Oryzias latipes: one gene and its partner. The protein of the gene in region 2 interacts with the protein of the main gene of each other region in a pairwise test. Links are inferred from orthologs where the notes say so. Each region holds a gene or a part of one and is shown on either strand. Other genes may lie near its edges.

Region 1 (3,655 bases), about 4.6 Mb from region 2:
GAAAACGACAACTGAATTGATTTCATTGGAGCCCAAAGTAAATCATTTTCTATGAATGACATCACACTCACTCAGTCCAGATCTCTGATACAGTCAATGGAACAGACACTCAGATAAATGCTGGGAATGTGTAAAACCTGGAAAGAATGCATCTTCACCAATGCTCACCTCTCCCATAGAAGTATTTCCTGTAGTAGTAAGCCCCAAGATCAATGTGCTCGATAATGTAGCGTTTGACCTTCTCCCTGTGGATTGGCTGGTTCTCTCGGGGCACCTCCAGAACAGAGACTCCAGCGTTGGTACAGTGGGAACTTAGAGAGGACTCAAAAGAGCAGCTCTCCGATATCCCGCTGTAGTTGGCGCTGTTGGCTCTGGAGAGGGAGATCTTCCTTTCTCCCTCACCACCAATCTCATTGCGAAAGTGCGGGCAGCCGAGTACTAAGCTATTACTCTTTCCATCTCCCTCATCCACATCCAGGTTCTCTTTGGGGTTTAAATCCTCCCTGCTGCCGAGTGGAGACTCAAACATGGGATTTCCACCGCCACATCCAAGCGCTGCACTGTCTGCCCCCGCTCCAGGTCCAACCCCACCTCCTAACACCAGGCCGGGCTCTGCCCCCACCCCGGCGGAGGCGGCTGAAGCTCCAGTGGTGGTGTTCTTCCTCTGACTCAGGTTGAATCTGTTCGCCACGGCTTCACTGATGTTAAAAAGGACGCTCTGGACGTCGTAGTGGGCAAAGCATTTTTGGAAGCTTAGCGGCCGACGGTCGTCCTCTAGGGAGAGTCTCAAGGCATCGCTCTCACTTTTTATTGTCCGTAATTTTCTAAAAAGAGACGGCTCAGCTGACTCTGATTTGAGTCGCCTAATAAATGATTTCTCGCGCTCGCGGCTGTATAGGAGAGAACTGTCTATGTAATCATAGCCTGGAATGTGGATGATCTCTCCCCTGGCAATTTGTGCTGCTGTCTGCAAGCTTGGGGACAGGGAAGCATCACAGCGCAGCAACTCTGGAAAACCCAGAGGCGGTATGCTACGATGGTCCAGGTTATCCACTCTGTAGCCTCTGAGCATCGTGAAGAAGCCTTCTCCACCGAGACCCTGGCGGTCTATAGAAGACGTGCTGCCGTATTCACGATGCAGTGAAGCTCCAGTGTTTGGGTTAACAGCGTTCTGGTCCATGATGTCCTCAGAGTCGATGTCACTTATGGTGACATCGCTATTGCTGCGTTGGCGAATGGGGTGAAGGCCCTTCAATGGGGAGTTGGTGAGAAGGTCGCTCAGTGTGTATTTGTCATTGTAATCCATATCTACACAAACATCTTCTCCTTGCTCCAGTAATTCCACAGTATGTTCCTGCTGTCCATTCTGGAAAACGGATATCACACTCTGGTAGTTTGGAGAAGGCCGTCCATCCCATCCGTCTTTTCTCGGTGGCCACTCTGTCACCCTGGCCCTAACCCCCATTTTAGGCATGGCAGGAGTACCGTTTGTTTTGCCGACACAGTCAGGTTTCACCTGCATGCTGGAGGCTGGTGGTCCCATACTTCCATTCAAGGCTTTAAGTTTCCTGCTGAATAGCTCCTCTGACTGCATAGCTCTGGTGTATTCTTCTGGGCCTCCCACTATTCCCACAAGGTTGGACTTGTTATCTGTCACAGGGCTTAAAATACTCATATCCTGCCGGCAGCTTCCTTGAGGGGCAGATTTTCTGGGCTGGTCCTCATCGTGTCATGTGGTTTGCTCACTGGCAAACAGCAGAGAAGCCCCTTTCCTGAGTTAAAGAAGCAGCCGTCGTCATAAGTCTTTGAGAGCGCATGGCATGGCAGTTGATACACAACATTTGGGTGTCAAGAAAACGTGTTTGAAGCGCACTGAGCAGAGACTTTCTTCGCAGCGTGGAACCAATGCAGACTGACAGCTGGAGGAGTTAGATCTGCAGGAGAGAAACAAACACAAAGAAGGCAATGTTTAGCACACAGCGGGTGAACACTGTAGCAAAAATTTTGACTTTAAAAGTAAAAGGAGCTGTTTTTTACAACCATGACACATTCTATTCTAATGCAAAAGAGAGAGAAAAAGAAATATAAGTGCCCCGTTTTCTGCTAAAAAGTTTCCCAGTAGGAAGATTTTGGATGCTCTCTTCTTGGAACAGCATTTTTGCAAACACTGCTAATTAGCGTGTTCCGTTATGGGTTTATAACACTCTAGATGTGTATGGCTTGCACCAATGTGGAACAGATGGCGGCGAAGCAAATGACAGTAACAGGAAAGCAGATGTTCAGTTAAATGCTTGCATGAACCAATATCTGGTCTAGCATCACAAAGCTTGCAAATCACATGACGGAACAGTTCTGCACTGTGAAAACCTTTCTACAGTGCAGGATGATCAGTCCAAATAGGTGGGTACAGGAAGGTTTAGAAAAAACAAGTCTATTACACCACACTTATGATAAAGAGCAAAGACAATATTGACGTTAAATGACCATTTTTCTTAATAACCTGAACTTTCAAGGACAGAGAAAACAGGTATGCTAAAACATCCGTTTGCTCGTCCTTGAGAATCAGCCTTAAGGTCTTTTAAGGATGCTGGATGAGACGTAGCATATGGTCATCTTCTGGGACAATACCTTTTTAATATAAGACCAGTTATTTGAGCTTCTTGACCATCTAAAAGGAGGACAGTTTTACCAGACAAGTGAGTTATATGTGAGGATAAAGTCTAAAGGAAATGAACAATTTCCAGGAAAACGAAATGTTTCTTTAAATCGACTTCATCCTTTGCTATAAAGGTATGATTTATGGTCCAAAGGGACTGGGAGTAGGGCATTACATTTACTTCAGGAGCTCAAACACAGGTCTACATGGACAACCACGGACAGTAGCGCCGCATAAGAATGGAAGACTTGGGAGTCTTTGAAAATGACCTTAATGCTTTTTTCTTGTTCTACGTAGCTAAATGTGTCCTCATCTCCTCATCCTAAAAAACCGGAAGAGTCACCCAGTAGTCACTACGCATCACAGAGACGATAGCAGCATTTCCTTCTGTGAGGATAATAAGCTCCACCAAAGCAGCCCTTAACGTTTGGTTGCAAACAAGGTAGACAGATGAATGGAGCCTAGTTGTTTCAGTCGTTGTTTCTGCTACATCAACAGACCTTTTATGACAGCTTCAGCTCCCAGACGACTGTTTACATTTCTTTGTGTAATCTGAGTGGGGGGGATAAACTATTTTTGGACAGAAATGTGGGCCACTTCTAAATGAGCTTCAAGCCAGACTGCACCAAATACACTAGAGACGAGTCGGAAACACTTTACTGCCCTTTATTTATTTCTAAAATCCTAGAAAGAGTTGTAGTTAAGCAGCTTTACTGCCACCTACAGGACAACAGCCACTTTGAAGACTTTCAGTCGGGGTTTAGACCTCACCACAGTACGGAAACTGCACTAGTTAGAGTCTCTAATGACTTGTTATTGGCCTCAGAAAAGGGACTACTTTCTATTCTGGTCCTGTTGGACCTCAGTGCTGCCTTTGACACTATCGACCACGGTATTTTACTCCATAGATTAGAGCAGGACATAGGGATCAGAGGATCTGCTCTCCAGTGGTTTAAATCCTATCTGTCTGATAGGTATCAGTTCGTTAATGTAAATGGC
Region 2 (3,755 bases):
TGAATCACTTACTTCTGAGAGCTGACTTGATATGACATGAGAGTGAAGTTTCCATCTGGAGGGATGAAAGACAAAACCCGTTCCGACTCCCAGCGTTTGAACCTCACGCAGGGATGAAAGCTCACATCATCCAGGAGACGAGGATTCTGTCAATAATACATCAATAATGAGCAAAATTTAGACTTGAACAAAAGTGCACAGATGATCTAAATACAGATATGGGGGGAAATGAGCCCACCATGAAGGACAAAGTGAGATCCGGCATCCCGGTAAGCCTCACACAAGCTTCAATGACCCCCTGGATCTCTGCAAATACTGTTGTCCCTGTTCAGTAAACAAAGTCACCGGTATTACTGTGCATTTAACTGCATTTCCCACCAACTGCTTTATTCTTCTCTTCTTTTCAAGTACCTGATTTATCGAGAATTGCATCAATTTCTTCGATCACATCAAAATATGCCTCATTGTTTGTGTACTTGACACCAGCCCTTCTCCATGGAACATTAGACAGCTGACCTGTTGGCAAAGTGTTTCCAACATTGCTACCTCCTGGAAAAAACAAATGAAATGTAATGTTAACGCTGCCCTTCAGTGTGACTTAAAGAGCCAGAAGTTCACAATGTTCCTTGTGACGTTTGTTTACCTGTTAGTGTATTGACGACTGACCGCAGAATGTTGGGAGGCTTTATCATCTCCTTGAGGACATTGGACTCGGTGGCGAGCGGAAATCCGTTGTCGAGCATCTCCTCCAATAGCTCGTAAACAATCACTACATTATCCTTGATTACAGTTTCTGAACATTCTCCAAAGTAATCCTGCAAAAAAAAAAAAAAAATGTTACTGAAAGGACAACAGTGGCTGTCCCTTTGAGCAGCGTCAGCAGACCAATATGGGCAATAACGTAAGTTCTGTGTTCTATTAGAAAGAGTGTAGCACAATTGAGAGTGCTGTACTTCTAAGCACTTGAAGAGCCTTTTGATATTACTTTGGATCGCAGATTTAATAAAATCCCTTTAATTTGCATTAAAGCACACAAAACTATCAATTTAATATTTTCAAAGATATTTTTTGTGTTTTTCCTTTTCTGCTTTGTCACCATACCTGCATGTACACATGGTACATTTACTATTAACTGAAATCTGACAATTCTTCCTTTTTTTAACATGAAACCCATTCAGCAACATTTCTTACAGTGCCCCATGACAATTTCCGTCATAAACACAGTTTAGTTTAGACAAAATAAAACATAAGTCACAAAGTAAAATATCTTTATCGTGTATTAACAAATCCTTCCATAGCCATTTAGCCTGCATGGGGTATATAATGGGATTTTATTAAAAAGACGTATGATATATGAGTCAACACTCTCCAAGCTCTTTTAAGTAATCTTATTTATGGTTTTATACAACGTCTTTAACGCTTCCAAGAATAAAATCATTTTAACCCTAACCAACATCAGGCACAGCACTTTGCATTACCAGTCCCCAATTTGGAGGTACTGGTTTGGCCACTTTATTAGGTTTATAATTGGTGTATTCACTTGTATTTTAATTATTTTGTATGTCTTGTGTTTCTTTTTAATGGTGTTGACATTTACACTTCGAGTCTGAAATAAAAATACTTTTTTATTGGTTTAAATGATAATTCCAAAGACGATCCCTGGTTTAAGTCAGCACAAAATACTAACTGCAGTCAAGGTTAAGGTTGCTGCTGAAATTCTTATATTTGGCCAAACTAATGCCTCAAAGAATGTCTTATAAAGGACTTTTTAGTTATATCTTTAATATATATTATATACTTACATGAAAGTGCAGCAAGAAGGAAACTTATTCCTAGAGCTTGACTAGAAGCACTTAAGATCTGGCACACACTTATCACAAAGAAGACATTCAGGTAAGAAATCAATACTACCAAGAATGTATCTCCAACTCTGTGCAGGAACTCGATGACAAAAAGTGGAGGCACTTCAGTCTGGATGGCAGACAGGAAGAAGATCTTGTCCCTGTATATACTGATGAGATAGTGGTGTGGGGTCTGCAGGACAGGGGCCACATTTTCTGGGTCTACTGCTTTTTCCTTAGCTTCGAAAAAGTAATCACAAACACTCCGGCTGATAACACTCTTCCAGTGTTTCTCCAGGAAAATGTCTCCTGAGTGGTTAATCAGGAACAGACTGTCGATCATCTCAGCTGCAGAAGGAAACGTTGTTGTTTGAGTTGGTTCTCTTAGACCAGATGGCACACGATAACTACACAATGTCGGTCACATGATTCAAATAACTTAAACTAAACAGTTTGTAAAAAATAAAAAAAATGAAAAGACTTTTGAAATATTATCTGAAAAGTTAAAAGTTTATTGTGCTGAGTGAGATAACAGAAAGAAAAATATGAATCATACTTACCAACTTATCGTTAATCCTGTCAGAGGAAGACCAACATGTAAAGTGCGAAATATTTTTACAGCTTTTACAAAGTTTTAGCTGTAGATCACTTGCTTTAAAAAAAGAAAAAACTCGATTCAACTACAGGGAAGAATACTCAGTTGGTGCCAATATGGAAGTATATCTCATAGGCATCTCAGGGGACGCCTACAGCTATGTGCACACGTAAGCAGAAAGAACTGAATTGTGCTACTAGACTAATAGTTGAAAAACGGGTATATTTACGCTATTGAAGTGGCATTCACGATAATCTAATAAAGTGTAATATTCTTCCCCTCCATTTTTTTATTTAAAGTTAGTGGGTTTATTTTTAATCAGGCAAAATCAGAGGACAGCTGTTTTGCTCTCATTGTTGTCAGTCAGTGGGTTAAAAAAACCGGTGTATAGTTTTGCAGGCAACCTTTGACAACGATCTAAGCCGCGCATCAGACCATTCAGTTTTCGGTGTTCTTTAAAATAGCTAATCCATTGTTGTATGTCAGCATTATTGTGTGGAAAGGTTTTGTTAGAATATTACAAATTTTTAAAGAAAAACTATTTGGAAAACTCAATATGATTTTTTGTATTTTGATGGCATTTTAACGTGTACTGTTGTGAAACGTACGCATTTCCCCATGGTATAACACAATTAATGACAGTATTTGGAAGTTTCCGAAGTTTTATTCACCATTTTATTGTATGTATATGATTAGAAAAAGTAGCACCTATAACTACTACAGCTCCTCGTTAAACTGAGTTGGGCAGGAACCATACTGTCTATGGCAGCAACAACTTACCTACAAGTCACTACCCAGGGAAAACAACAAACTTCCTTGATACGACTGCATTTTCGAAAGATAATTGCAAAGACAAAAGGATTAATATGGGGGGGGGGTAGATTTTGTAAACAATGTGAAGAAACATTCATATATTTAATTTCGACCTATGATCACAAAAAATTAGTTTGGAAGTAATTGTCAGTATGATATAATGACTCAATTTTTTCTCGATTTCTTCCTGACATGGAAAAACAGATCCTGTATGGTTTTACTGATTATGAAAAGTTACTTCACAATTTTATTGGTTACATTTCCTGATTTTATTAACAAAATATTACATTCATTAAACTACATTTGGCTTTAAACCTCAAAATTCCTTTGAATTAATTGCTCAAATCAGACATTATATACACCCAGTACCTACAGAACAGCAGTTAAAACCTATCATCTGTCTCAGCTTTATAGATTAAATAGCTACTTTTATTTATGTTGTTTTTACATTTTTGAAGAAAAAAAAAGGTATCAAAGTTAGGAGGAGGAGGCAGGAGGAAGGGTTA

What was found. The genes of interacting proteins can lie anywhere in the genome.
Region 1: the proteins of AP-3 complex subunit mu-1 (region 2) and sipa1l2 interact in binary tests that used the Homo sapiens proteins (3 or more experiments, as listed by UniProt). The two-hybrid records come from large-scale screens. The link is inferred for Oryzias latipes from reciprocal best matches to the Homo sapiens genes AP3M1 and SIPA1L2.

Annotation. Positions count from the first base shown.
Region 1 is NC_019873.2:28,571,359-28,575,013, forward strand, and holds part of sipa1l2 (signal-induced proliferation-associated 1-like protein 2), read right to left. Parts: intron 1,935-3,655; 5' UTR 1,676-1,934; coding exon 169-1,675; intron 1-168.
Region 2 is NC_019873.2:23,929,230-23,932,984, forward strand, and holds the start of AP-3 complex subunit mu-1, read right to left. Parts: upstream 2,593-3,755; 5' UTR 2,402-2,592; intron 2,190-2,401; 5' UTR 2,185-2,189; coding exon 1,912-2,184; intron 816-1,911; coding exon 644-815; intron 550-643; coding exon 412-549; intron 325-411; coding exon 239-324; intron 147-238; coding exon 13-146; intron 1-12. UniProt on the Homo sapiens protein: Part of the AP-3 complex, an adaptor-related complex which is not clathrin-associated. The complex is associated with the Golgi region as well as more peripheral structures.